Linked DNA regions of Styela clava. The protein of the gene in region 3 purifies or fractionates together with the protein of the main gene of each other region. This does not show direct contact. Links are inferred from orthologs where the notes say so. Each region holds a gene or a part of one and is shown on either strand. Other genes may lie near its edges. The genes, in order: Parkinson disease protein 7 homolog; ubiquitin carboxyl-terminal hydrolase 10-like; phosphatidylinositol 3,4,5-trisphosphate 3-phosphatase and dual-specificity protein phosphatase PTEN-like; OTU domain-containing protein 3-like.

What was found.
Region 1: the proteins of phosphatidylinositol 3,4,5-trisphosphate 3-phosphatase and dual-specificity protein phosphatase PTEN-like (region 3) and Parkinson disease protein 7 homolog purify together in Homo sapiens (affinity purification with western blotting; 4 studies listed by BioGRID, with this or other methods). This does not show direct contact. The link is inferred for Styela clava from reciprocal best matches to the Homo sapiens genes PTEN and PARK7.
Region 2: the proteins of phosphatidylinositol 3,4,5-trisphosphate 3-phosphatase and dual-specificity protein phosphatase PTEN-like (region 3) and ubiquitin carboxyl-terminal hydrolase 10-like purify together in Homo sapiens (affinity purification with western blotting; 4 studies listed by BioGRID, with this or other methods). This does not show direct contact. The link is inferred for Styela clava from reciprocal best matches to the Homo sapiens genes PTEN and USP10.
Region 4: the proteins of phosphatidylinositol 3,4,5-trisphosphate 3-phosphatase and dual-specificity protein phosphatase PTEN-like (region 3) and OTU domain-containing protein 3-like purify together in Homo sapiens (affinity purification with western blotting; 3 studies listed by BioGRID and IntAct, with this or other methods). This does not show direct contact. The link is inferred for Styela clava from reciprocal best matches to the Homo sapiens genes PTEN and OTUD3.

The regions. Positions count from the first base shown.
Region 1 is NC_135257.1:17,241,640-17,248,337, forward strand, and holds Parkinson disease protein 7 homolog, read right to left. Parts: upstream 2,507-6,698; 5' UTR 2,393-2,506; coding exon 2,297-2,392; intron 1,995-2,296; coding exon 1,833-1,994; intron 1,570-1,832; coding exon 1,419-1,569; intron 1,154-1,418; coding exon 999-1,153; 3' UTR 511-998; downstream 1-510. Other genes in the region: peroxisomal membrane protein 11A-like, read right to left, coding at 1-48, 145-260, 348-403. UniProt on the Homo sapiens protein: Multifunctional protein with controversial molecular function which plays an important role in cell protection against oxidative stress and cell death acting as oxidative stress sensor and redox-sensitive chaperone and protease.
Region 2 is NC_135262.1:10,709,770-10,717,795, forward strand, and holds the start of ubiquitin carboxyl-terminal hydrolase 10-like, read right to left. Parts: upstream 3,010-8,026; 5' UTR 2,896-3,009; coding exon 2,878-2,895; intron 1,903-2,877; coding exon 1,837-1,902; intron 1,483-1,836; coding exon 1,455-1,482; intron 1-1,454. Other genes in the region: UDP-N-acetylglucosamine transporter-like, read right to left, coding at 6,269-7,201. UniProt on the Homo sapiens protein: Hydrolase that can remove conjugated ubiquitin from target proteins such as p53/TP53, RPS2/us5, RPS3/us3, RPS10/eS10, BECN1, SNX3 and CFTR.
Region 3 is NC_135260.1:11,756,482-11,764,393, reverse strand, and holds the start of phosphatidylinositol 3,4,5-trisphosphate 3-phosphatase and dual-specificity protein phosphatase PTEN-like, read left to right. Parts: upstream 1-4,904; 5' UTR 4,905-5,017; coding exon 5,018-5,096; intron 5,097-6,241; coding exon 6,242-6,326; intron 6,327-7,004; coding exon 7,005-7,049; intron 7,050-7,125; coding exon 7,126-7,169; intron 7,170-7,912. UniProt on the Homo sapiens protein: Dual-specificity protein phosphatase, dephosphorylating tyrosine-, serine- and threonine-phosphorylated proteins.
Region 4 is NC_135256.1:9,157,284-9,164,152, forward strand, and holds the start of OTU domain-containing protein 3-like, read right to left. Parts: upstream 3,026-6,869; 5' UTR 2,696-3,025; coding exon 2,609-2,695; intron 2,264-2,608; coding exon 2,166-2,263; intron 1,802-2,165; coding exon 1,653-1,801; intron 1,209-1,652; coding exon 1,096-1,208; intron 837-1,095; coding exon 714-836; intron 564-713; coding exon 447-563; intron 24-446; coding exon 1-23.

The DNA.
Region 1 (6,698 bases), on a different chromosome or scaffold from region 3:
CTCTCTGGGCTGCTCTGAGACTGTCCACACTTTTCCCAAATCTAAATACTGAAAAAAATGTATATTTTTTTTTTATTCAGTAAATTGAGCTTTGGTAATGTGAGATCTGTGTCTGTTGCCAGAATTATTAAAATATAAACTCACATTTTCTGGACGTGCTCATTAATTTTTCCAGCTCTATGAGCATGTTGACTGCATTTTCCTTATTGCCATTTCTCAGTAGATACCATACAAGAAATTTGCTGCCATATTGCGTGACTCTATAAAACATGTTGTATTCAATTACAAGAAATCCCAATTTCTGCACATTTACCTAAAAACAGTCTTGAGAAAAAACAATCAATTACCTATATAATTTGTCTCGACCAGCCGTCTTGTTGCAAAAAGCTAGGAAGTCATCCATTTGAACTTGACCTGATTTATTTTAAAGCTATAGCTCTGGAAATGAAAAAAAGCATTTCTGTCAAAACATCCCAGAATCACATATGTAAAAGGAGTGAATTATGAGGAATACATACTATACAGAAATATATAGTATAAAATACCAGTGGACAGAGGTCGACAATGCTAGGCGCAAAACTGATTTTACTTTTCACTTTACAAGAAAACTCTGCTTGATAAAGTTATTTCACAGGGTGTTTTCACTTTGTGCATGAAATGTTTCAACATAATGGGATTTGGAATCTACCAATCAAAATTACACTATAAAGACCAATGATATGAATGATAAACAAGGGGGCCATGAGTGTTTAAAGTCGGGACGGGCAAGGGGCCACGAGCCATAGCATGTTGGGAATCACTGGTCAAGGCAACATGAAAATATAAACCCAATAAGCGCAGTTAATTGCCATGCAGTCAATGATCTTCCGTATTTTGGGCAATTGAATTGCGTAACTTAGAGACAACTATCAAAAATGAATAAATCAAGCTCAAACAGGGCAAAGATGATGTTTGATGTTATCTAACAGTGAATGATATAAATATAGTCGGTGGGCAAGTTATGGCAAAACCATCGGTCCGGAAATCTTGTCTCGGACTTCCTTTCCCTTCAACATTTCAACTAGCTCTAAAGCAAATTCAAATGATGTTCCTGGACCACGACTTGTGATCAGCTTGTTGTCCTTGACAACCCTTGCCTCAGAATAGATGTACCCTGAAATACAGTTAGAAACTATGTTAGTTTAAAAGCTATGTAACAGATGAACTAATATACAAAAATATGATTCCTCACAAATCTAGCACGCACTCTCTCAGTATAGAATATTGATCTCTGAGCAAAGTCAAGGGCGGGCAAGCACTAAAAAGCCATAAACTACTGGGACTGTAAATTATAGCGTAGAAGTGCGCGTTAACAAAATCCAATTGACACAAGAGTGGATATTGCGACGCAGATTATAAGTATTTTTATGAAGACGAACCTTCTAATTTGTCCTTTAAGGATGGATGAGATGTGATATTGCTCCCTGGTTTTATGTTATGAGATTTGAGAGCTATAGGAGCAGCACATATTGCGCCGATTAAGTTTGTATGTTGAATCTGCATCTCCAGGAGCTTCTTTACGCCATCTGACTGTACAGAAACAATTTTATGAGTCAAATGATGGTTAAAACATCTTGGGTGATCGTGGTATACTGTAGCATCTTTACCTCAAGACCCAAGAATTATTGACATATCTACTAAATTTAGTCAGCGAACAATATTTTCTAATAAATATCTATAGTAGGTAAGTCAAATATATAAGATTTTACAATATTGTCTCGATATTTTTGTATTTAAGCGATTGCCCTACATAGAATATTAAAAATTCAAAACAATTTTAAGCAACCAGCTACCTCTGCGAGTGTGGTCGCACCCTTTAAACCACCAGGCATTACAACTGCATCATACGGGGCAGCATCTATGGCTGTTTGGAGATCAACATCTGGAATTATGCAAACCCCTCGACTACACATAATTTTATCTGATGCGTCAACGCCAGCAACAGTCACTTCAATCTGCATATAAAAAATTAAGAGTATAGATGTGTATGGAATAATTATTTGTCAATACCGCTTATTGGTATTTATTTTAATGTCATTGATGAATATTATTTGGTCACAAAAAACTTTTTGTTTGTTACATCAGTAAGTTCTGTCGTTATAAATTATTTCAATTTTGCTTTAATACCGGTATAGTTTATAAAAAAGCTTAAAACTTGTTGTATATCATAATTCACTTGAATCCTAGCGTTTCTAAACTAGTGAAATAGAGCCAGGTTGTATAAAAAAAAGGAAAACAATTCTGAATTTTCACAAACCTCTGCTCGACGCATCACATCAATGGAAATAACGGCCTCCATCTCTTCTGCGCCATTCGCAAGCAAGACCAGTGCCCTTTTCAAAGAACCACTCATTATAAATTCTTTTTGTCGTTTACTCAATAAGCGAATAATCGTGAAAATAATAACCCGTAGAGCAAGAAAAAGAGCCCTCAACTAGTGCAATTGCATTGAATGAATCCAAACGAAGTCAATGCAGCAATGTTTGAGCTCCACAGCAGGAGTCGAATTTTACACTACCCGGGACTCTGTACTCATATTTGGGTTAGGACAGGAATTTTATTCGCCCAGTAGGAGGGGTAGAAAATACGATAAAATTACTTAATCATATGGTGAGCCATGGTTTTTTGTACTACAGTCCATGTAAAGTATGTAATTAGGCAGCTCATTAGTAGAATAAGATTATCTTTTTACATCGCATGGACTTGACTTCTAAATATTATTCCGAAGTCAGGAGCTCAAGTCGAACTTTTATATTACCGGTATGCCGATTCTGTATTCCAGACTTCAATCAATCAATTTTATTTCGGTCGCTCTGGTATAAAACAAAACAATAACAAACGAACAAACACAGAGGACCTGGAGGACGGGCATAACTTGAAGAAAAGTTAAAAACGTGAAAATACGCGCCCGTCCACCAAAAACAGTCAAATAACACAATAAAACAAAAATACACGATACAGAATCGGGCAATAACTTCAAATGAATAAATTTGTGAATAACAGTGACAACAATGAGTTTATTTTGAAGAGGGGTCATACAGATAAGTAAACATCGTTTTTATATGTAACAAGAAAATGAAGTGATTGTAGGAATAACACTGCAAATGGTAAAGGAAAATTGTGATTAGAATAAACAGGTCGTTTGAATGATGACTTTGTTCGAACATTAAATGACTGATGAAAATTGTTGAAAGAGGTGCTTTTGGGTGTTGATCAACTAAAAAAATAGTGCTGTGATGGTGTGGTGTTTATAATAAACTATATTAAAATCTTAGGCGAACTGGAAAGCTATTCAGTGCCTTCCAGTGGATCAATCAATCATTTATTCGTCGTCACAAAAACATCAAATGCAAAAAAAATTGGTACAATAAATAAATATAATAATAATGATATTTGTGCGACAGGAGTCGCGAGGGACCATATTAGGTCTTCAAGCAGCGACACCTAAAGCGCTGTTACTGGTTCAGTGTAAAAAAAATAACTACATTTGCTACAAACATTGACTATGCAATAGTCGTTGTGATGAACATATTTTGAATCATTGAAAAAATTCGCAGCAAACGCAACTTTACTAAAATCATGTAATAGAGAAAAAAAAAGAAAAACAACTCAACTATAAATTCATAAAAAAGGCATATTTGAATAAATGTATATAAGTTACATAAAAGACAAACGACAAGCGAGGGGAAAATGGTTAGACCAAAGACAAAATTGTAAGAGATTAATTGAATAGGAGTTGGTAAGCTCTAATAAATCATAAAACGTTGATATGTATATATATATACAATACGCTCCACAGTAAGTGGGCATAAAATTTACGAAAGAATGGTAGGCATATGCTTGCTCAATAAATTAAAATATAACGAATTTTGGCATTTTAGTGTAGAGGTTGCACCAAGTTTGGTAAAGTTAAAGTACCGGGTACTTTAGAAATAGACTCCTTACACCTATAGTTCCTCCGGCTTTTTGGGCAGCCATGGCGACGGTCTACAAATGCGACTACTGGGCTATGGACAGAAGATGGCGAATCATACTGAATACTCCAATCAATGGCTGATGGAAGAGAGATAATAACTAATATATTTACTTTTTAGATATAATTTGAAACCGTAATAGCCTAAAGATTTAATGGTACTTGGTAAGGCATTCCACAGTTTCACACCCGTGTATTTTATGGATTTCTGTGTCCTGCTTGATGAATATCTTGGGACATAATATGAACTTGACAAAGCTGATCTAGTAGAGTATGAATGGATATTACTCTGCATTCTGAAAATTCCCGCGAATGCCATGGGAAGCTTGTTATCGAAGTACTGGTGCATGAGTTTCAGTATCTCAAATTCATGGATATGACCAAGCTTAATAATTCGACACCTGTGGTACAAAGGATCTAGTCTAGATCGGAAAGGTGCACTACATATGGCTCTAATTGCTTTGTTTTGCAAAACTTCTAATCTGGGGAGTAGAGTCGATGACGCACTACCCCAAGTTATAATGCCATACTGCAGATACGACTGGAAAAGAGAAAAATAAACCAATCGGAGAGCTGGCATGGTGAGGAATTTTCTTAGTTTAAATAATAAACCTGTTGCACTTGACAACTTTCCAGCAATGTAATTAATGTGTGATGTCCATTTCAATTGGTCATCAATGTGGATACCTAGGTATTTGTATGAGTTGACATTTTCAAGTGGAACCTTGTCAATATTAATTTGAAGCCGAATTTTATTTTTTTCATTTATCCTGGGACTAATTAATAAGCATTTTGATTTTTCAATATTTATGGTGAGTTTATTTATGGTCATCCAGGTTGCAATTTTTTGCATTTCAGAATTCATCCGCAATTCCAAGTCGTTTGGCGAAGCTGAACTTCCAAACAAACCGGTATCGTCAGCGAAGAGTTTGACAAGTAATTTAGTGGCATGAGGAAGGTCATTGACAAATAGAATAAACATTATCGGTCCAATGATCGATCCTTGTGGAATTCCGCATTGTACACTAGAGAGTTTGGAGCAATTCGAACCAAATTTAACACATTGCTGACGTGAACTCAAATAGCTCCTGAAAAAAGTCAACGCGTGACCGCGAATACCATCCTTGGATCGTTGTTTAATGTTAAAGAGTCATCTGAACATAGAAGAATGAAGCACCTGAACTGGGGCCACGGTTTGAATATAATGTGAGATGGAGCCAATATGACTTCTGAATATAATTCGAAGAGTCAAGTGAAAATTATAAGTTATTGTTGACGATCACAAACTATTATTAAGTATCGAAAATTTCCTCCTCCCAATCGGCAAATCATAAAGAAAGTTGCCACTTATCCAATATGACAAAAGTGGCTTTAGAGATAACAAAATCGTATAAATTGATTCAGTAGTTTGCATATATGATGGCTCTTGAATTTTATTTACGTTTGAACACTATCTCTAGTAATATATTCAATTATACTGTAGTATTTGTCAAAATCATGCGGAACTCACCGACTATGACGGTCGTCCCGTAAATAAAAATCTTTTTAATTAGATGTTAGTAGGCTCGGCGGTGTGGCGCATCGTGCTACGCTTTAGGAATACTCTCGCCACAGCATCTCTGCTTAACCTTCGTGAGATCGCAGGTTTGAATCCCATGCGGGGATGATGTGCGAGAGATTGCTGAACTCCTCGCCGCCGTAGAGTGGTTCACGTAACCGCTGGTCGATTACGGCTCCCTCCACCATCAAGTCCAAGCTTCCGGAAACAAGTAACTGTCTAACCAGTATATATTTACGGTCTAACCGTAGTAGTCCGTAGTCGAAATAAAATCTTATGTTATCTTATCTAGTATATATTTACGGTCAATCAATCAATCAATTTTATTTCGGTCGCTCTGGTATAAAAAAAAACAATAACAAACGAACAAAGACAAAACACAGAGGACCTGGAGGACGGGCATAACTTAAGAAAAGTTAAAAACGTGAAAATACGCGCCCGTCCACCAAAAACAGTCAAATAACACAATAAAACAAAAATACATGATATAGAATCGGGCAATAACTTCAAATGAATAAATTTGTGAATAACAGTGACAACAATGAGTTTATTTTAAAGAGGGGTCATACAGATAAGTAAACATCGTTTTTATGTGTAACAAGAAAATGAAGTGATTGTAGGAATAACACTGCAAATGGTAAAGGAAAATTGTGATTAGAATAAACAGGTCGTTTGAATGATGACTTTATTCGAACATTAAATTACTGATAAAAATTGTTGAAAGAGGTGCTTTTGGGTGTTGATCAACTAAAAAAATAGTGCTGTGATGGTGTGGTGTTTATAATAAACTATGTTAAAATCTTAGGCGAACTGGAAAGCTATTCAGTGCTTTCCAGTGGATCCTTGTTTAATGTTAAAGAGTCATCTGAACATAGAAGAATGAAGCGCCTGAGCTGGGGCCACAGTTTGAATATAATGTGAGATGGAGCCAATATGGTTTCGAACCAGCTCTCCAGCCCTGCTTGCACTGAAGTTGAAATTATCAAGAATTGAAAGAGTCCTATCTTAAGAATAACTATTATAAACATAATCCAATAAGAAAAAATATTTCAAAAGTAATAACAGTGATTGACTGAGTACGAAAGGTTTAACTAATCCCATACTAATCCCTTGGGTGAGCGAACACGT
Region 2 (8,026 bases), on a different chromosome or scaffold from region 3:
AAAGATACGTTGGAATACTACTTTTTAATTTATTTTTTGTCTGGAGAGATCGTGAGCTACCCCCGCGAGAGAATAGGATTCACGTGTTTTTAGCTATTTATCAGCCAAACTAGCTCAACTAATTAATTTGGCTATTTCCGCTGTCAAATTTTTATATTGACATTTTTAATATTACATAGTAATTATGAAAAAATATATCAACACAGCACATAACAAAAAGCAACTAGGTGCCCAGTTTTGAATCATACAGTGGAATGAATTGGGGTCCTTATTAACGGCACATGGACTTTTGGCACGGGTATAAATTCTGACTGTTTGTCGTCAAGGACGAGTGTCATTTAGTCCGTCGACATCGATAAACTAAATTCCGACACAATTATCCATCTACGCAGGTATTAATTTTAATTTTGTTTAACTACACAATTACTTTATAGATATATTGACATGACCGCCTAGCCCCAGACTGTCTCAAAATATATGATAGCAATTGTAAAATATTATAAAATAGTAAAGTAAAAAAACATCCTCGACGGTTATAGGTAGGCCTTCTTCTTGTCGGTGCTGATTGATATTCTTCCATGTTGGCTTTGACTTATTGCGTCGACGATTACGATTAGCCACGAAATAAAATATTTGTGAAATGCTTTTAATTTGAACGTAGGCGCTAGAATGTGTGGGTGATATTCGATATTCTTTTAAACACGAATAACGATATTCGAAGGCCGCGATATTATTAACATTAAATTCAAATTGGACATTCCGGGTTATGAGTTTTCTAATTGAACACCGAGATTACTAGCGTTACTGTACAATGTATCTTAATCAGTTAAAGCAAACACCAAACATTAACTTCATATTATGTGATATATCTTTTTTTCGATCTGAAATAATGTGTACTATGACCAACGCTCGAAGACCGTTGTTTTAACCCGTCTGCCCTATACAGCACACCTAATTAAGTAATAATTACATAGTATCGGTATCGGAATATCGGCCTTTTTGTAGTATCGGCGTATCGGTATCGGCGTTTTTTGCTGGTATCGGATCGGTATCGGTGACAAAAGTGGTATCGGTACTTCTCTACATCCAATTACATTGTAATATCAATAAAATAGATCACACAACAAAATCAAATTACAAAACTTTGGAAAACATCTCTTCAAATTTTGTCTTACATTACTCTAATATTTTTTATTTTAAATAAGCTCTATTTTAAATAACTCTCAAGTAATGTAGCCAAAATGTAGACCAAAACATGAGTATAATACTATTAATGAAATATCTAATAAAAATACTTTATTTCCATAATGAAATTATGAATTTTCGCACGAATTGAACCCCCTCAAATATGGTTTTTTGCTTCATTCAAATATTCAATTTATTGCGAAATCTCTGGGTCTACATTATTTTATTTCAATTAAAAAAAAAATAAGATCAAGAAAACGTTCACTTACGTGTTACATAATTGCATGAATTCGGAAACTGAAAAAATATTTCAATTTTGATTAGATTGATGTATGCCAATATATATATGCCACCCAATGAGCAAGAAATAAGCCTTAAATGTGAATACCACACTTTATACATTCTTCATACCATACAACTGAATTAGGGTATTTTGTTTCAATACCAAGATTCTTATCAACAGTGAGACCTAATATGAATAAGTTATTGTGATCCACTTGTGTAGAATAGATTTATAAGAAGATACACAATGTACAAGATTCTTTTTCAGATTCTCAAATATAATACGAAGCTTCAATCAATATTACTGCCGGTATATCATAATGTAAAATATGTTGTCTGTTGAAATAGAAAACGAGAATAAAAAAATACCTCCACGCATCCAGGTTGTATTAAATAACAATTATGTTCTTCCTCTGTGAAATCCCCAAAACTGAACTAAAAATACAATTTGCACAATTCAAAACTTCGATGATACTATAATCAAAGAAACACCCATGTCAATATTAATAGATAGGTGAAATAAGTTTGGATTGTTAAATTGCGACTTACTTTATTAACTTGCAACAAACTGAATGCAGTCGAAACCATAGAATAGGATAGAGTTATAGAGATACCGTAATTTAAGGGCCATACAACACACTTTAAATCTTTTTTTTTCTTAAAAATTGATCATGAATTTTATCAGCCAATGCGCCTAATGTATGGATCATGGATATTAAAACCTGTAGTGCCTCATAGTCTGATGTGCCTTATGTATGAAAAAGTACCCAATCTAAGCAATTTATAGACAGTGCGCTTTATGATCTGTAAGATACGGACACAAACTCGATAATTATTTTCATACAAGAGCAAAAGTTTAAGCGACATACTTCTATCAAATGTTTTGCATTTGTGAATACTGTTTATACGACTGTCGCGTGGGATAAAAAAATTTCCCAAAAGAATTTTGTTTCAGATATTAAAAAAATTTTTGTCAATGACTTGTAAAACATTCAGACATCGAATCCAGCTTAGACTCTGATAACAAATACTGATGACAAAAATTATGGAGTCAACAAACCAGCTTTATTTAATAGACTGTTTTGAATGCTTAGTAGAGTCAATACATTTTGAGTTAAAAGACTTCACTCATTTTATCACCATTGAAAGTCTGAAATTGTAACTCAGACTCACTCCAAATACCAGGGAATTCATAATTTTGATGAGTTAGAGAATGCGACTCTGGCTCAGACTTCAGAGAGAACATGTTAACCTTCGACCTCTTGACTCCAAAGGCCTGACTGTTGCAGTCACAGTCAATAGAGTACATCACAAATTCATGAACAATAAAACTATTATACAATTGCGGGTTACGTTCATGAAGGACAATTTATGGTAATTTTCAAATTAAAATATATAAATTCAACTTACTCGAGGTGCTGATGCCATGATCGGCAAGCTTGTGACAAATATTCTTTGAAACAATTTCCGTACACCAAATATCTATCTATTCCCTTTACTCATTGTATCACAAAAATAATATCTACAGAAGCTATTATTTCTAAGAGAGAGACAAGATTAACAAGATATAACACGTTCCATAATTCAGATCTCATGTAGAACATTGAATGATAGTCAGAAAGATAGAATACCAATTTCTATAATCCTCAAAAGAGTTTGATAGTATAGAAAACGAAGACCTTTCTCCTGGGTACAAAGCATGTCCATATTGGTCGTATTTATGATATTTGAAACAATACAGTAATTTTACGTATAATTGTATGACAATGCAATAATACACAAAAGACAATATCTCAGGATTGATAATCTCAAAAAAAAAATGGCCGAGGTAAAGATGTGTGCACTGTGAGAGCAAAAATGTTCTTGAAATTCAGGTAACAGAATACGATATATATTTTATCAACACTTTATCAGTAAAACTTAATTTGTGCAAAAACAGTTTGAGGCATATTATGAAACAAAGATTCTGAATTAAAATGAATGGCAAATATATAAATATATATCCAATATGCACCATTCTAAAATTTTTTTTTTTAGGAATACACATCTCAGGTTTAAATCCCATCCCTCTATAGGTGGTGAAATAAATTGTGTAGGCTATGTCGAACTGGGAGGATACCAGTACGATATAAAAATAACTCCTTACAAATCTTCAGATATCAGGGGCCTTATTTAGAGAAAAGGGAATGAAGACGCATCGTTTAAAAGATACCTCATTTTTTTGTTAGTCACAACTAAAATTGAATCCATCTCTCCACTTTAATAAATACTTGCATGGTACAATTATTTTCAGTCAAAAATTCTCTATTGTAAACGGTGAATACATTCATTACCACAGTAAGTAGTACAAATTTCACAAAAATATTTTTGCACATGCAGCATGCATAGTTATGAACTTATGATTTTGTCTGAGCAGAAAAAAGAACAATCTTTACAGCTTACAATGCAATAAATATAGTATGAACAATGAATGCGAACGGGCAGTGATGACTATCAGTCAGTCAGAAAGAAACCGGTAGACAATTTGAATTGCTTGGTCTAATGCTCATCCATGGTAGACGTTTGTCAACACTTGTGATACTGAGGTCTTTTTATAGCGCTCCAGAAGTTTGTGTACCAATATGGGGTAACTAGTTTTGTTTGCCTACTTTACATCATGTTGTGTAAATGGACTTAAACCTATGGGCAGGGAGTATATTCACTTGGCCAACACAGACAGTCCCCAAACTCGTAATAGAACTAAAATAAGGTAAATAGGAATAAAATTACAGCCTAACCCTAACCAGGCGCACACTAACGGCAGTACCCTTTTTATTACAAGCAAATATTAATAAATTGGGTACTCCGGAAGTATGCGTTTCAAGATGGCGGACACCGGAATGTAGTATGTGTACCAGGTTAGGAATAGGCCATAATTCCAGATAAAATTTTTCTTTATTTAAGTTCTATTAGGAGTTCGAGGACTAGAAATCATGGCCTAACCCCAACCTGCTACATATACTACGTTCCGGTGTCCTCCATCTTGATTCACATACTTCAGGAGTACCATATTGTAGGCGTAGCAAATGCTGGATATGGCAAACATGTGAGATTATACGCTTATAATGGCACCAGGAGCAATAATTTAAAATTGGGTTCAGCCCCAGAGAAAACACGAATCTAATGAATACTAAATACTAATAAATTACATAAATATATGTTGTATGACATTGCAATGTTGGATTTTACTAAACATACTCAGTATGAAAATCACACAACAACAGCATCGGGTTTCCAACCTTTAATACAGGAGGGCCAGATGGAAATAACTGGGCCGCACCTTTATTCAATATAGGTTTTCTAGTAGTTGGAGGCTTTTGGTTATTGATCTTGTGACATGCGTTGATCGTCCCCCCCCCCCAGGGTAGAGAATTCCACCTAAATAAGTTCGCCATCAAAATTAAATATGACATCTTTTATCGATTGCGCAAAAGGTGAAGTATAGGATATTTATTTCATCGCAATTTACGGGAGATTTTTTTGGCTACTCAGAATAGAAGCTCTTTTTTATAGATTTATGACTGGCACAGTGATACAGGGTTAGAACAACATAGATTCTTTCTACAATCATTTACCAATATTCAACATATGATTGCACAATATTCTCATATTATACATAAATAATCCAAGCAGACACAGATAAAGAAGCTAAAGCATTAGTAGAAGTGGTAAATAGCTATCAGCAGCTGACAATTTATTTCATCCTTTCTATTTTACGACAGACGGACATCAGCAGGTGCAAAATTTGCGAAAAATGTTCAGAATTTATATGTTAAATATAGCAAATTATTAGGAATTGAGCTTTCCAATATGATAAATCAGTTGCAAATATTACAAATTAAACTATTTAATTGAAATAGCTATGATTTATATTATGGCTTTATGCCTAATATATTGCAGTAAATTAAAATGATACAAATCAAATAATATGATTTGAAGGACGAATAACCGGTTGAAAAATGTTAAAAAACGATCTTGAATATCTGAATACTTGAACAAGGATAATTTTGGAAAAGGACGGAGAAAAGTTTTCGAACAACATCAGTAGCATGATTGCTTTTTTTTGTGTAAAAAAGATGGGAAATTAAATTAGCTGATTCAATCTCAGAACTAGTTGTAACTTGGACATGCTTTTTCATGTGTTAGCCAGTTATGTTGTGGTTAGGTTATGATGATTGACTTCAATTTATCTGCATGGAGCAAAAATCCTGCTGACACAACTAACACTTTTACAGCATTAAAAATACAATGGCATGATGTAATTGCAAGTAAACTAAACAACACAGATTTAGTCGAATAGAATTATGACTGTCACTACCAACAACATCAAATATTTTATTCTTTACAACAGGGGTGTGCAACATACGTGCGGACTCAGAGTAGTGCCAATTTTAAATCGTGTACGACCTGCGAAACAAGTTTTTGATTCAGTTTAACAGTTTTTTTTTAGAAATTTATGCATCTCAATTAACTCATCATTTCTGCAATGCATAAGATCCATAACAGAAATAAAAAAATATTTGTGCCTGCAACTATCAGAACGCCTCTGTTAAAAAGGTGCGGCTCGTGGTTTCACCCAGTTATTTGTATCTGGCCTTTCTGTATTAAAAAAGATTGCACACTCCTGCGTCCTGCTTTACAAGACCATATTCCACAAATATATACCCCATAGCACCCTCTGATAATATATGATATAGTCACCTTCTACAATACCCAGAACCTATTTCAAAACACACAAATATATATATTACCACTATTGCATCTATTTGCTATACAGAACAGTAGAAAATAAAACGACTGCTGTACCTATAGTAAAAAATGGACCTGGATGAAATTCATTGAACATAAAATACGAAACTGCACTTGATATAACGATAGAAAGTGAAGCAGCAAAACTTTTAACAATATTGTCTGCATATTTGATAACATTAGAGACAAGGAGACCGCCAACAGCATGTAATATTACAACGAACCATGTTAAATGATCGTATCCTTGAAAAATTCCATCTTTTCTAATCTCTTCATAATTAGTAAAATACGCTGTAAGTCCACCAAAAATGGTGCCAAATAACGCCATTTGCACGTTTCTTATCCATAGACTTTGATTCGAACGCTTTAAAAGTTTTTCGAAGTAAACACCAGCGAAACCGCTACTGATACACGAACAAAAAATAGCAAATAAACCATACCAACGATAGGCAGGATCTTTTTCTTCAGAATTTTCAGGTGGGATTTGAACTAAAGCCACTCCCCCCATCAACAAAACCAAAGAAATCCATTTCAATCTGTTTAAACTTCGACCAAGCAAAAGAACAGAAAATATTGCACTGCTTAAAATCTTCAGTTGATATGTCACTTGATATGTGGGAGCGTCCAGATACGATAATGCTATAAATAATAAGTTATTCTGTATAGCATACATACCAGAAGGTATGGCAATTTTAAAAGTTTCAATTGGTCGACCGATGACTTCTCTTAATATTTCATCCACGGTAAATCGTAACGAATATCCTTTTGATTTCAAAATCATTAAAATACAGCATAATAGTTTCACCACCTCTGCTATAACCACAACAGTACTGTTAAGAAATCGTGGCCCTTCGACAGGTCTGGTTCTGGAGTAACGTAACGTCAAAACGAGAGTTGTTGTCTGTATGACGAGTAATACAAGTGCAATCAGCTTTTTTGAATTCATTTTTTTTTACTATGATTAACTAGAATAGTGATTCAAATATAAAATAATATTACCAATACTTTATGCATCTGTGCAGTCTGTGTGTTATGGACAGATAAACAAAACGCCAACTGTTCAGTGAAATGAAATCAGGATTACATTTAATTTGATACAACATTCATTATTACAAAAGGAGGGAAATATTTCAATTTGTTAAGCAAACAGCTACAAGGTAGTGAACTCAACATAACTGAAGTTCTTGAAAGAAAAACTTTTGGCATACATAGAATTTATTGTCTGGTAGGTACACAGACTGTTACCGAATTCAAGTTTACAGTCAACCAAGTTTGATGGCTGAAAACTTTCATGCTCGCAACACATTTTGACAGAAAATTTTCGTTGTCACATTGCAAAAATAAAAACCTAATGATTGTGATGTTTATCTATAATTAGGACTGGGAATTTTAAGGAAAAAACTCCAACTGTTAACTGGGTAAAATTAATTACGTCACTATAATATACGGTAATAGGGCCCTTCAAACTATACGAACTGTCATCCAAGACATGCAGACAATAACCCAAAATCGACAAGCTACTTCTCTAGTTTTCTCGTCGAAATGATCCCGATATGAGAGAGATCGCTGCCATGAGCTGCTCTTTATCGTTGGCGCATACCAGGCGATCGTATGTATAGACTACTTTGGCAAGCTCTATGACGTGATTGTGACGTTTTAATTATGTAATTTTTGGATGGCGTGGTCAGGTGAGGGATAGGATTGACATGTGCAAAATCGTTTTTGTAACGACTTTTCGACCCACAGACTTTCCCAACTACAAGACGGTTGA
Region 3 (7,912 bases):
CAAAAGAGGGGTCTCTGCTCATCTGTAAAATGGGTTTCTTTGAAACGAGACAATGTCGCTTGATCTGTATAGTGTGCTGTACTGACTTGATGGTCCAGGAAGCCGTAATTGTCCAGTGGTTAGGTGAACCACCCTGCGACGGCGAGGAGTCCAGCAATCGTCTTTCACATAACCATCCCTGCATGGGATTTGAACCTGCGAATCCACGCACAGTAATCAGAGGTGCGGTGGCGGGCGTATTTCTAACGTTTAACACGATGAGCCACACTGCCACGTCACACTTGGATGATCATACAGTGATATTGTCATCAGGTCGTATTGCTCCCTGCAGTCTTCACCAAAAACAAAAAAATAGTGTCTATTTGTTGTACTGTCTGACTGTTGTATGTATGTAATCTATCTATCTCAGTATCTACAACATCGGAAAAATAAAATTAAAGCACTTGGAGCACAGGAATATGGTGGACATAATTATGTGAGTTTTGAATTGTATCGGTACCGATATTTCCTCAATAACTGGTATTTACTTTTAGGCTGGTGCCTGTAAAAACAGAAAAATGTTCCTGTACCGTAATTCAAATTCAGTAATATGTGAATACTGGAATATCTCGATACTCACTGTATATATTTGTATATTGTACTCTAGTACTTAGATGAAATACAATGGAAGAGATAAAATGAATGTAAACACATAGTGAAAAGTGGTGTCGTAAATCTGTAGTGGACCTCAGAGACCGAACCAGCTGCTTGACCACAAGCAGCCAAGGTTCAAAAAAACATTCCTGCAAGCTTCCGATTCCAAGATGTTTCGACATTTGCCTCAATAAAACAAACATGCTATTTTTCTCTGATCACGCCAAGCTAGTCATGGTAATAATTTAAATTAATTGTGATGTGCGTCGGCCGTCATATGACCAAAATTGCGTTTATTTGCTAAAAACTCTCAAATGCTATGAAATATGGCAAAATTTCTTTTTCTACTGTAAATCGGATTATTATTTTCAGAGGAATCCAATGGTGATGTTTTAGATTGCGTTTCCTTTTAGTTCATGACTTGTCCCAGTTTGCCAATATGGAGGCTCAGACTGTATTGTAATGGGAGGGTTTGCACTCCACTGTTATATTTGATGTATTTTAACGTCGGGGCTATTCTTGGAATCAGAGAACTGTAACATACTGTTTTAATCAAATCATTAATCAAATAATCTGGAATGATAAACCAGAATGCTATGTCGATCCCATACCTGACCAGGCATTGGTATAATTATGATGAGATGTTGTGGTTGGCCTTATTTTTAAGTAATAATGAATGCACTAATTCGATATAAAAAACTGAGCATATTTGATTGAAGATGATTTCGAGATTGAAAAGTGGAAAATGGAAAATATCAAGTTCTTGTATTGTGCTCTTGTTAAGGGTATAGAAGTCCTATCAGTAGTATTTAGATAGTTATTCCTTGAAGAAATATTTAAAAAGAAATTATGAATATTTTTATTTAGTTTAGTTCCAGTTATTTATTTTATAGCAAGTGAATATTTACATTTGGATTATTTCGAGTAAGGTAAATAAATTGAAAAAAAGCTCGCTGAGGCTGGGTGTGAAGTGGGCGTTTTGAATTTGTAAATAATTTGAGCAAATTGATTCAATTCCTCCATTATCACGAGCAATCAATTTTATTTCTGCGTTATGGTATACAGAGGATGTGTATAACACAAAATAAGAGAATAATCAAAAACTACATTCAACTCATTTGTATCAATGTCTCAATAAACTTGTACTTCTAGCTTAAAAACAAGCTATGATGGCGAAAACCGATTAATATACTATTCTGAATACACTGTATAATATTGGATATTCTAAATTAGTTTATGTTCATCAAATAACACATATAAGTTGATATATAACTTATAAGGAGTGATGTTAAATTTTTTAATACAATTAAGTAAGATGAAAAATTATGTGATTGGTTCTCTCTATTCAAAAATTTATTTTTGCAGCATGATTTCAGTTGCTCTAAATTTCAACTATTCTAAATTTTCCCAATTAAATAATAACGAATACAATCAATTCCAAATAGATTCTAGTATTACTTAATTTCAGATATTCTCTGTAATAAGTATTTTTTGAAAAAATTTTTTGTCATTTTTTACGATCGATTCAAGCTGAGTATTCGATTCATCTTATCTACTTCTAGTTAAAGTGAGCAAATAAATACACTGTGATTACTTGCAAAAACTAGGTAATTCAAATCATCAATGAGGATCTTTCAGCAGCTGTGTTGGGAATAAACAGCTTGGAAATTAGATTATTTTTTGATAAGGCATTATAGCTATGCACAATTCATAACTTTTGTTATTTATTAGGAGTGCAACAATGGAAGCTTTCTATTATGACATTCACAAGAGATTTGGTTTTTATATCAAAGATCATTAAAAACGTACTGCATAATCAAGTTTAGTCAAATACACCCTATTTACCTTTTGGTTATAGAAACTAAGGTTATTTATATTACATGTGATGTATCGATATAATATTTTTGTTAATCGTTTTTCACTTTTGTAAGAAAGGTCGTTCATTCTTTCTATAGAAATAAACTGTCATGCGATGGCATGTCTATTTAAATACTCAATTATTGATCTATGACGTTATTCATTGATACATATGTAATGGTTGTATATCTACATTTAATACTCCATGGTTGTTTTATAAATAGGATATTTCTGAATACGCAATTTTGTTGTGTGGATGCCAAGCCATTGGAGGAATTTTGTCTGAACGAATTTCAATTCTTGATATTTTGATGCTTTTTGAAGAATTTCAAATTGTGAAATTGGGGATTTTTATTTTTATCACCCCCTGTGCAACAGAATCATGATTTATGACAAATTGTATGAAGGATGGTTTGATTCAGGAGAAATGAATTTGCAGTATATGCTATTTGAATGAAGTACCCGTATGTGGTGATATATGATAATCTTGATTATCTTATGGGTTATTATCAGTATTTGAATTTTATAATTTTGTAGTAATCAATGTTTCATACCGAATACTTAAAGTGATAATTTTATAGTTATATAGCATATACCTGCTTTAAAATTTATATTATACCATTGCTTTATAATGTGATGTATTCAAAATCGATATTATGCTTATAAATCCATTTGGAAAGATGATAGGATTATAGCATGTTGCTTGAAAGTAAATTGGATTCCATAGTATGTTAATTTGTTCTTGGTGAGAAAATAGAAAACTCCTAGGATAGTTAATAGTCATTCCCACTTGGGCTGATAATTTTAGTTAATATTCTTTGTTCTCTTATCAAACAAAATTGACTGGTTATCCATTGTTGCTTTAAATCAAATAAAACATCTCCAGTTTAGCTTTTCCTTGGTGTTTAACAATTAGGATTGGTATTCTTTTCAAATTGAAGGCCACAGAGGATAAAGTCTAGCGATTTTTTGAAGTGAATGTATATTAAACTGTCATAATTCGTTGTAACTAACTATCAGAGATCAGTTAAATAAAAAATACCTGGTTGACCGTGCCCATACCTATTACCAACACTTAGGTTAGAGGTAGGGATGGTTATATGGTTCCAATCACCATTCGAATGGCCTCCCTCTCCCGTAGAGAGCATATTGGGCTGCCACTTTGACAGCAGGTTAGATCTTAAGGACAGTTATGCATCTATCGGTTCTATGACTTAAGTGAACATTTTAAACATGTGTAGTTAAACTAGTGTGGCTAAGTAATAGACTTAGCAAGAATATACATCCAAGTCTATTTATTGTCACTTGACTGACATAATCTATATATATATGTATGTGAATATTTATGCATATTATCGGACAAGGTTCCTTCTCGAATATGTGAAATATTATGCAACCAGTCATAGTGTGGGTTGCATGAGGTCATAGAGTTCATTGAACCAAATAAAGTAAATCATACTGATCTATGCTGTAGTGTCACAGTGTTAATTTTTTACTGCAAATACTTAATTATACCAACAGAGAGAGATAGAACAAGGAAGTAAATTTAGGAGGCTATAAATACCTGTTATAAAGCATTGTACATCAGGGTGCGTCCAGTGGATTGCTTTTAAAAAAAATGATATGGAACGATATTGTCTTTTAAAATAGCAATTATATTTGAACGTTTAAAACCGAGCTAATGATGAATGTAATTTGATCATTTATACATTGCGTGGTATCAGGTTTGTTATTTCAATTTCTGAAAAGTACAAATTTGACTGATGGCAGTGTAGAAATGTAAAAGTCTTGATTTTTTCAATTTGTTTAAGTTTTTAATACATAATTGAATACTTTTTAGTGTGGTTTTTAATTTTTATCCTATTTCTGAAATTACATGTAATTTCACACAGGGTCTTGCAAATATGGTAGCAATTGTAATCTACCACTAATAATCAGTGAAGTGTGACTGGCGAGATAATCTAAAACGAAAGTTTCAATGCTGTCAATGTCATGCTTCAATAATTTTTTGTCTATTATGAACTTCGTATATACCAAAGACGCAAAGTAGATTCATTTTCAATTTCATATCCACGACGAAATTAGGTTAACTATGAATTTTATTGGAATAAGAATTTAAAAATTTATAAAAAAAAGTGAATGGAATGATTTTGATTCGTCTAATCTAATGGTATGTATAAAGTTTATATTTCTGTTGGATCCAAATTTTGTTATAAATTGATTCTTGATATATCTTGACCAGGTTTGTTTTATTTAAATAGTTTTTTTTACTACATTTAATACACATATAAATAATATACTCACCGTTAATTGAACAAAGCACCTTAAAGTCCTTTTATCTAATTTCATTTATGACTCTTTGAGCACCCTGTATAACTAATTCAAGTTTTCATGTTTTTTTCTCTATTTTATTGTCACAGTGTAATAGATAGTTATTAATAAAAGGATTGTTAATAGAAATACCGTAGTAATTTTAACTCAGGAATTATACCTTATCGGATAACCGTGGATATTATTCAGCATCAGGATGGCAAACACAATAAAATCTATGGTCAGTAAGAAGAAACGAAGATATAAGGAAGGAGGATTCGATCTGGATCTCACATGTAAGTTGATAGATTTCATATTCGAATATAGGCCAAATCTGATGATAACGTGCCAAAAAAATTATGCATGTAATATACCAAGTTATTTATATCAAATTTGCATGACTAATTCATTTCAGTATTTTATGGAGCATAAGATACGCTTTGAATATTTCGTTCCGTCAAAAATAAATTGTCAAGCTGGAACGCCTCGTGTTTGAATCAGGTAGTTCCTTATAGCCTACACTCAAAACCAGTAACACCCAATGCACCTTTCGTATGAATAAAAACCCAATCTAAGCAATTTATTGACAGTGCGCCTTATGATATGGTAGTTTTATTTTTAAATATTCTGATAGCCTTTAAAGAGATGATGAAAACTGCTATTGCTAAAGTTTCTAAGGTAAAACAAAAAGAATCTCCAATACATATATATAGCAAGGGCTAGGAATTATTTAGTTGCTGTGTGCCATGCTTTACTCTGTCACATTGGGAATCTTTGCTAAAACCAAAAATACTGTAATTGTCAGCATTCAGTGTAGCAGTGAAATTGTTACATACAGATACAGGTATATGCAAAAATATGGGTTGTACTAAATTTTTAATATGAATTCAAGAAGAGTATTTTGGTTTATTATCAAAATAATGACTGTCCTGTCAGTGTTGGCAAACTAAATTATATTTTTATTTCCTATATTTGGGAATGTAGAGAGAGTAGGATTACCAGGTAGCAGTGAACGATTATGGTATTGCACATAAAATGTATTTTTTTAATATTGATCATTGTTTGAATATTTTTCAATAATGTTTTCAGCAGATGTTTAAAACTTTCACTTTCATTATCACATTTGAGATTTGATGGTAACTTTATTACGGTAGATATAATGTCTTGAATGTGTTGAATCATAAATGCTATATAACAGCACAATAATGCTTACGAAATGACTGCAGAACAAAAATTATAAGCAAGATGATTTTTGACTCGGTTCTTTCATGAAGTCTAAATTAAGCAAAATAAAATCTCAAATTCCACTGAACTAAAGCCGTAGGGTCAATATATTATGTCCCTGATATGATAGACTGATATACTGGTTCATAGTATTCAAGTTAAGGCATTCGGAAAACTGGCAGAAAAATTACTATGTTTTTTTTTTGTTCTCATTCAGATATCTGTCCAAATATTCTTGCGATGGGATTCCCAGCAGAAAGAGTTGAAGGATTGTACAGGAATAATATTGATGATGTAGTCAAGTAAGTAACATTTGAAAAACGAAATTCGGTTTAATTCATTGATTGATTGCAGAAGAAAAAGACTGATTTTCAAATTTTTATGAGTCCCGGTATATATATATTGGCTGATTTTTGCATGACATTGTATGTTGTGTTGCAAAAAATTTAAAACTTGATTGTTATTTGAGCTCAATTTTGTTATGGACATGCAGCCATGTGGTTGCAGTATTGCCTTGAAAATTAGAATTTCCAATCCTTTTTTGGGCCATTATGAAGCAGTAGCTGGGGATAAGTTTGCTTTGATGTTACATTTATCAACGGTGTATGCTTATTATCAACCTGATATAATGAACTCCATTGGTATGGTACAACTGATATTTTTGAAATTTTTATGCTTTTTCTTGAAATTTATGCTTTTTTTACAAATTATTCTGTCAATTTTAATCTGAAGTTTGTTTAGTGAGTGATTAACATTAAAATGAAATATATAGCTACTTTCATTATTAATAAGAGGTGAATAAATGTACATACCAAAAAATCAACCATGAAATTCATTCATACATGAGTAGCTTTAAACTTAGGATCATAAGAAATAATCTGAAGACTTAATGTGTAGATGTAAATCATCATATTCTAATATGAGAAGTGAAAAACTGTGTTGTATTTTACTCTGTAATATCGTTCTTTGTTTTTTTTCAGATTTCTTGAGTCGAAGCATCCCGGCCACTATAAAGTTTATAATTTGTAAGTACATTTTAATGGTCATAATATATTCACATGTATATATTGTATAAATATCATATTTTTTTTTTATTTACAGATGTTCTGAAAGGACATACGATACTGAAAAGTTTCACAAAAGAGGTAAATCTCTTTAATTGATTTAGATAGCTTTTTAAAAAAAATTTGGTTTAAAACTATTTTGAAATATTGAATATTCTAAAAATTCACCATGATAAAAATTATTGGAAAAATTCTTCAAGTTGAGAAAGAATTGTTATTGAAATAAAGATGTAAACATAGCTCAATATTTAAATCTTGCAGCCAGTTTTCCTTAATCTTACTTATAAATATTAATTGATTTAGATAGCTTTTAAAAAAATATCGGTTTAAAACTATTTTAAAATATTGAATATCCCAAAAATATACTATGTTGGAAAATTATTGGAAAAATTCAAGTTGCGAAAAATTGTTGTTAAAATAAAGATGTAAACATAGCTCAATATTTAAATTTTGCACCCAATTTTACTGTAATCTCAACAATAAATAGTAGCTGTATTTCTTGTAGAAATGGTGGCCCACTGCATTCATATTCATTCGCCACCTCACCCGAGGCGTAATAAATTGGGTCTGCAATTCCAAACTATAACTCCTTATGTAGCAGTGAGTGATTGTGTAGAGCCTTGTTCAGAGCCAAAGGAGTATAAAAAATACTCAGCTGTTGGTTACAGATATTTGTATCCTAATATTCTTTATTAATAGAGTCTGTTTAAAAAATTTGAAATTGATCTGTGATATTTCAGTCACCAGGATAATTAAAATAGCAATCTTTCAAAATATAAGGAAAGTTTGAAACATTTTAATAGGGTTGGATTTATATAAAATAT
Region 4 (6,869 bases), on a different chromosome or scaffold from region 3:
ATTTTCCTAATCAACTTCCGATCCTGTGAAAATTTTGAATTACAATAGCATATTGCATTCCCTGAAGCTTGCCAAATGAGATGGACAAGGCTCTCTGACATCAGATTGTTCAGGTATTTATTCCAGAATCTGGCACTGACTTCCTTGTTTGTTCCAATGACCGTTTACAGTGGTGTAGCATTTGAATTTTGTGCAACCACTCAGCCAGACACATTTCATGCAAACAACATTGTTTTTGTAGTTTCGGGATTAGTCTAGTCAAATAACTCTTATGGTTAGACTGGCTTAATTCGTTCATCTTGAATGAACTGGCAACCTGACGAGAGGTTATAGTTAATTGGCTTTACTATCATTGGAAAATTAAAAAAAATTAATCCTACAGTCACTGTATCCAGTTTGAAAAACTCTGACTTATTTAACGTATTTAAATTAGGAATTTCTGATACCTGACATCCTGTTACTTCAATAATTCGTTTTATTTTTTGTAGTTCATACTCAGAAACACTGTCTGATCGTTTCTTCACATTCTTTCTTTGCATAAGATTTTCAGTTTCCTTGTATTCCTGGAAAGAATTTTCATTATTTAGATATCCTTTGGCATGGTATTAATCTACCACTCTTTCTATTGAAATTTATATAAAGTCACTTCAGCGTATGGGTGTGTGCCCAAATAATTTAGTCCCATCATGTACAAATTTCTTAAAAACACTCACACCAAGTTTCACATTAGCCGGTCCATTACTGTTGTCATTAATCTTCCTAATACTTGAATAATGATCTCCATTATGATATGCAATATGTAGTTGCCTGGAGTTCGGCTGTTCATTGCCTTTCACCTGCGAATTAAACTATTATCAGAATGGTGCTTATGCATACATTATGGGTAAATAGTATAGTACAACTAACAGTGAACCAATCAATCCACAAGTGTCGGCTCAGGAAAACTGCCTTAAAAGTTCAGAAATCAGTAAAACTGTTCAGTAAAAGTTACCCATTCAATTCCAAATTTAATGACTTCTATATTGTACTTGAAACTATTTTGGATTCACCGTCTATTTTTAAGGCTAAATTGAATTCATTATGATATGATCTTACAGTCCAAATAGGAGCATTAAGTTGATGAATCACCACATTGACATTGTATTTCCTGGCAAATGCAACAATTGCATCATTTCCTGCATATGTTCCAGGGTTTCGTAGATTTTCAACTGCAAAATTTAGAGTAAAAGTATAGGCAAAAAAAAAAAAATTTGGAACATTTTTAATGAGAATTATTCTTTCTGAAAAACACATTATAGATAGCACACCATTTAAAAACACAAAATAGAAACAAATCTATAATATGATTTTGCAGGGAGTTCCAAAACATTTTTACATCAGAGATTAACAGTGAAGCACTACTATGAGCTTTATTGCAAGAAAACAGGAAAAATGTTTGGCTTTTCTATAGCTTTCACACTTCTCTTTAAACCTCCAAATGTTGTCTGTAATTTGGGAATGGCCCATAGACACCGAGGGTAAAATATTCCCAAGAAATAGATTTGCGACTTTAATTAGTGACAACAGTTCAATGAGGCCATTTTCAGATTTGAAGAATAATTTTTGATGGAACTAAACTCTGTAAAGTAAAATAATGAACATCAAATGCATACCATGACGATTGAAAGGGATATCATCTTCCACAAATGGTTCAAAATCACTCCTATGTTCAGTCATGTATTTCACGATTTCTTCTCTATGTCGAAGGTGGTTATCTGAATGACCGTCCATTTGATCACCGAGAGCTCGAAAGAGACAGTTTCTGTAAAGAAATGATTAACAATATAGGATAATAAAAACAGCAAAAAGTATGCACACATTAAAATCATATAAATAATTTTAAAATTTCATTTTATCGTTATTCAACTAATTTCTGGTAAGTATGGCTATGTGCATCTGCCATTCTGTAAATTAACCTTTGCTGTTGAATATCATTGTTGTAGATATGCTTGGTAAATAAGCAAATGTAGACTTCCCTTTTATTACAATTTCTTTCTAAGTAGATTTGTAACTGCATTTTTATCATTTCTTTGAGAGCTGCGGTCTTAGACAATCAGTTATATTACTGTATTATAAACTAGAATTATGAACAAAAATTAAATCATATAGCATACAAATAAACTAACCCATCTCCGGGGATATCTCTCAATTTCAATCCCAAAAGTGCGAGATGATTTGAAAATCCTCCGTAATTCACATCTTCTGATAAATAGGAACTCATTGACTGAAAATTAGAAATAAGTAAACTGTTATCTGGTGGTTGTATATACCAAGTACTGATATACCAATATCTGAATATGAAAGACACAAAGCTGCGAATTTTGGACTGAACCTTTGGTCCTTCAGTCATTAGCAACTTCTAAACTTAAGACAAGAATGTGATTTTTCCGATCAATGTACATTAGTTTTTCAGATAACAAGTCAGTTCGCAGACTTTTTGGGATCATTAACAATATCGTACCAGTACCGGTACCCATTACAGCATTAACTGAATTAAGGTCTCAAAATTCCGAAATTTAATGAACCCGTACAGTACCGGTACGGCACCATACCGGTACCGATAGGGTACCTGTTTATGCTTTCGTATATTCTGTGCTGCTCTTTTAGCGGCTCTGTCCACGTCCGTCTTTGAATTTCTACCTGTTTTTTTCGACATTCTGTCACAAATGATATATAATCCAGTAATCAAGGGCGACAAGGAAACGCAGCCTTGCCAGGAACTGAAACCTGGGTCACAAGACACAACATAAACTCCCCGTTTGATTTGACTCGAGGTGGCGCCTGGGTCTATTAGTATTTTCGAATTTTATTATCGAACATTAAGGTTTATTGTATGGTGTTAAGGTGTATGTTTATTTGCCTCAAAAATGTAACAGTATCTGCATAATAAGTAAACGGTATAAAAGAGACGGGATACATGTTCAAGACATTACTGGCCTACGACACAGATGTGCGACATCACCCCAACAGGTATAACTGCAGTTTAGGACTGCTGCGTCATAGTAGGACAAGAGACATGAAATATACAAATAAAATACACAGGACAAAGAGGTACGGCACCACGGTGATATGTACAATAGGCAGTTTATGTTCACGTTCATGTTCTGATGTGAAGGGATGGGAAAAGGGTATAAATCGCATTTTAGTGTGCTTTACAATAGATTATACGAAACGAATAAAAATTTGTTCGAGACATGAACTTGTCAAAAACCAATGTTGGGTGGGACAACGACACAAAAGGATTAGGTTCTAAAAAGGTAAACAATAAACGACATATGCAGAAATTCTTTGTTTACACTCGAGTCGTTAATCATAAATTGTATGCGACAAAAGAAATGAGAACAATAGAGTCTGGCATAAAATGCGGGTCAATTTCGTAGGCGCTATTGTGTGGATAATATAGTCACCACGCCTGATAAATGATAAATTTAAATTTGTATGAGATGATCTTTTCATTAGCGACGATCCAACGAAGTAACTGTACAAAACTAATAAACCATAAAAATATGCAGGAACTAGAGACAATAGATCAGTGGGTTGCCCGAGACTTGTTTCCTGAGCAATGGGAGTTGGTTCCATCCACGATGACATAGTTTGTCAAACGGATATATTTTTTATCCGCCAGTCTTTTCTCAACTGTTTACATGGTTTACATGACTCTACATTACGACTGCGTATTCCCTCACCGTCACATCCGCACACATTGAAGGATCAACTGGTTTGCTACGCCTATCTGATTTGGCTTAAACCGTAAATATATACTACTACGCTTAAACCCAGATTCAAAGCAGAGAGAGAAAAAGATTCATTTGTTTTGTCAACTGAAAAACACGAGCACAACAAAAAACAATTAAAGGAAGGCGAATATTTTATAGTGCATTAAATAAGTCATTACGGATATTCAGAACTTTGTATCAACAATGCTTAATGTTTCAAAAAATGCATTTATCATAACAATTTTAAGGTTGGGTCATGTAGGCCTAATTACAGCCTAATATATCGACGATATTTTGAAAAGAAGTTTTGGACAGGGCGAAGCAAAAAACCTCCCAACTTCGTGACATTGGCCAATCAGCAAGATGTAAAAAGTGACGTAACAATGCCCCATTTTCGCATCCGCTCAGACACTTTTATCACTCAGACAGATTTCCAAGCGTGGTTGTAAACATTATCTCGTTTTCGCGTTTTCGAACCCTATTCGTTGGTTTTCAGTTGTGTTTCTGAAACTTAAATCAATGATCACTCTGTTTTCCTAGGAGTTTTAATTTAATAATTGCAGTAATAAAAATTAGTGTAGAAATAGCTGTGATAGACTAGCCTAAAATTCTTTACCGGTACTTTTAAAAAACAGCTTGTTGTATGCAATAAATCACAATGATGGTTTGAAACACATATCCCATTTTACAGGCGCCAACTCGCAAAAGCACTCTCAAAATAGCCCCGAAAATTTTGCTACGGTGAAGTATAAGAATTTTCTGGGGGTCAAAGGTCGGGGAAAGCTCCATTACGTACCAATTGAAACTAAGCGGTCGGTCAGGCCTAGGGTTGGTTTATCCGGATAGCGGTTATCCGGATAACCGGTTAACCGAGAGGTATTTTACTATCTGATATCCGGATAATATTGTGACGGTTAACCGGATAATAGAGCAATATAAATAATGTATATGCGCATTAGTAATTTTTATATTTTTTGTTGAGTGGCGTCTTGACATCTCCCAGACTTCAGAGCATATAATAACACCTTCTATTCACACTACTCTGCCCATATTTAGCCACCAATTAGGTTGAAAAGTATTGAATGTGTGGGTGTGAGTTTGTGGCTTTTTGGTCGGGTGTGACTTTTAGTTTATTGCGTGTATTGAAGGAACGCATTTCATGATGGAACAAGCCAGGACTTAATTCCCAATACTTTGTAATCTATGTGATCTGTGTAGCATTTCAAAATTTTCGGTATACGATTGCATGTAATGTGCATGTTTTCAACTTTTTAAATTTTTCTATTGCGCAAAATAACCAATTTGTGGCTGATTCAAGCATTTTAAAATGTCTTTCCATAATAACTCTGTTCAACGTATCTCGCGATTGCGTCGACATACGTTAAAATTAAAGCACTTCTACTATAAAATGCCACCGCTTTCTGCATATATGAAAATACGTAGTAAGCTGCATAAATAATATCAGTTTTTATTCGTATTTTTGCGATATTGCGAATTTGAGCTATTAACAATAGAACTGTGTGGTGGTTTTTGGTCAATTCGCCGTAAAAATCTTGCGAAATCGGATCTTTAAAATTAGAAGTAACTATCCGGTCAACCGGATAGTTAAAATACGGAATACCCGGATATATCCGTTATCCGGATAGTAAAAATTATAGGTATCCGAACTAACCCTAGTCAGGCCCAACGACTAAAATACCGGCCAGGCCCGTATGTTAGTCGCTCGTTATCAAAAGCCGTTTCCGAACTGCGGTCGATTTTTGTTGTTTTTTAAAACTTCATAAGTATTAAACAAAGTCGACTTTATGTAAATAATTTTAGTGGGTAAATTCAGTGAAAGTCTACTTATGACTGATTTACTAATGACCAATATAAGATGCTGCATGTATTTAAATTTGGGACGATTATAAGAAGATTCTTTAACGCCATCAGGAATACCGTTTCAAGCAAATGACAAACTAGAGTTTGTCCTTTCGACAAAATAGGGTCTGCTACCAACCGAACGAGTATTGTATCCAAAAACATCACTACATTTTGTAAAGTAAAAATTTGTATACCTGTAAAAAATGCCAAGCACAGTACATTGGGGAAACCGGAAGAAAATTTAAAGTCTCGTACGTCAGACCACCTTAGGGACATTCGAAAAGGGCCCCCAACACCAGTTACCAACCAATTCAACAGGGAAGGGCACAATATAGACGATTTCAGTGTCCTAGGAATTGACTCACTAACCCACGACGAACTCTACAGGAAAAACAAATTCTGGATTGACAAAATGAAGACTCGGCAACCACAGGGAATCAATAGAAAAGATTAAAATTCAAACGGGGACGTGGCCCAAATGCAAATATAAAACCAAAAGACAAACAGTACTATAAAAAAAAATACAAACAAATAAGGTTCAAAAACAAACAAAGGAAACTACACAAATAGACGAACCACAACCCAACCACATCAGTTAAACCGGCTATTCGAAGATGATACGATAGCAACCATATCCAGTTATAGGAAACTCAATGATAGACTAAATTTATATGATCTTTTATATTTACAGTTATATCTTGTATTGTTTGAAGAAGTTAGACCATGATCTAACGAAAGCTCACAAATATACTTACTATTTCGTTGAAAGAGATCATGTTCTTTTTACTTTTCACTTTAAAACTATCTCGTTCAAGCATCCTTGTGGTGAGTGCCCCATACATACGGAACCGAACTAGGAAGTAATCAAGGAGAAAGGACCTGCAGTTCAATACACAATATCCATTTTCCCCTAGTTTTGTAAAGTAGTTAACATAAACATCTGTTTAAGTTTGCGAATGTTTATTTGTTTGTAAATTGAACAAATTCGCATACAAGTACCAGTCATCAATCACAGGATACGGTTTCGTAGCACAAGTTTTACATGTAGAACACCAGCCGATATTTTTAGATTGCAGACGCGAAGTAGAACAGGGAAATTCGGTACAAAATTTTTAAATTCAGTCATGGCACGCTAGTCTACTTGCAATTTGTTCAATATGAACTTGTCAGTTAGGTTTTTGATATAAGACAGGGTAGGTATGGGCAATATAAAATACCGAATCCGGTGGATTCGAATCCAACGGGATCCGA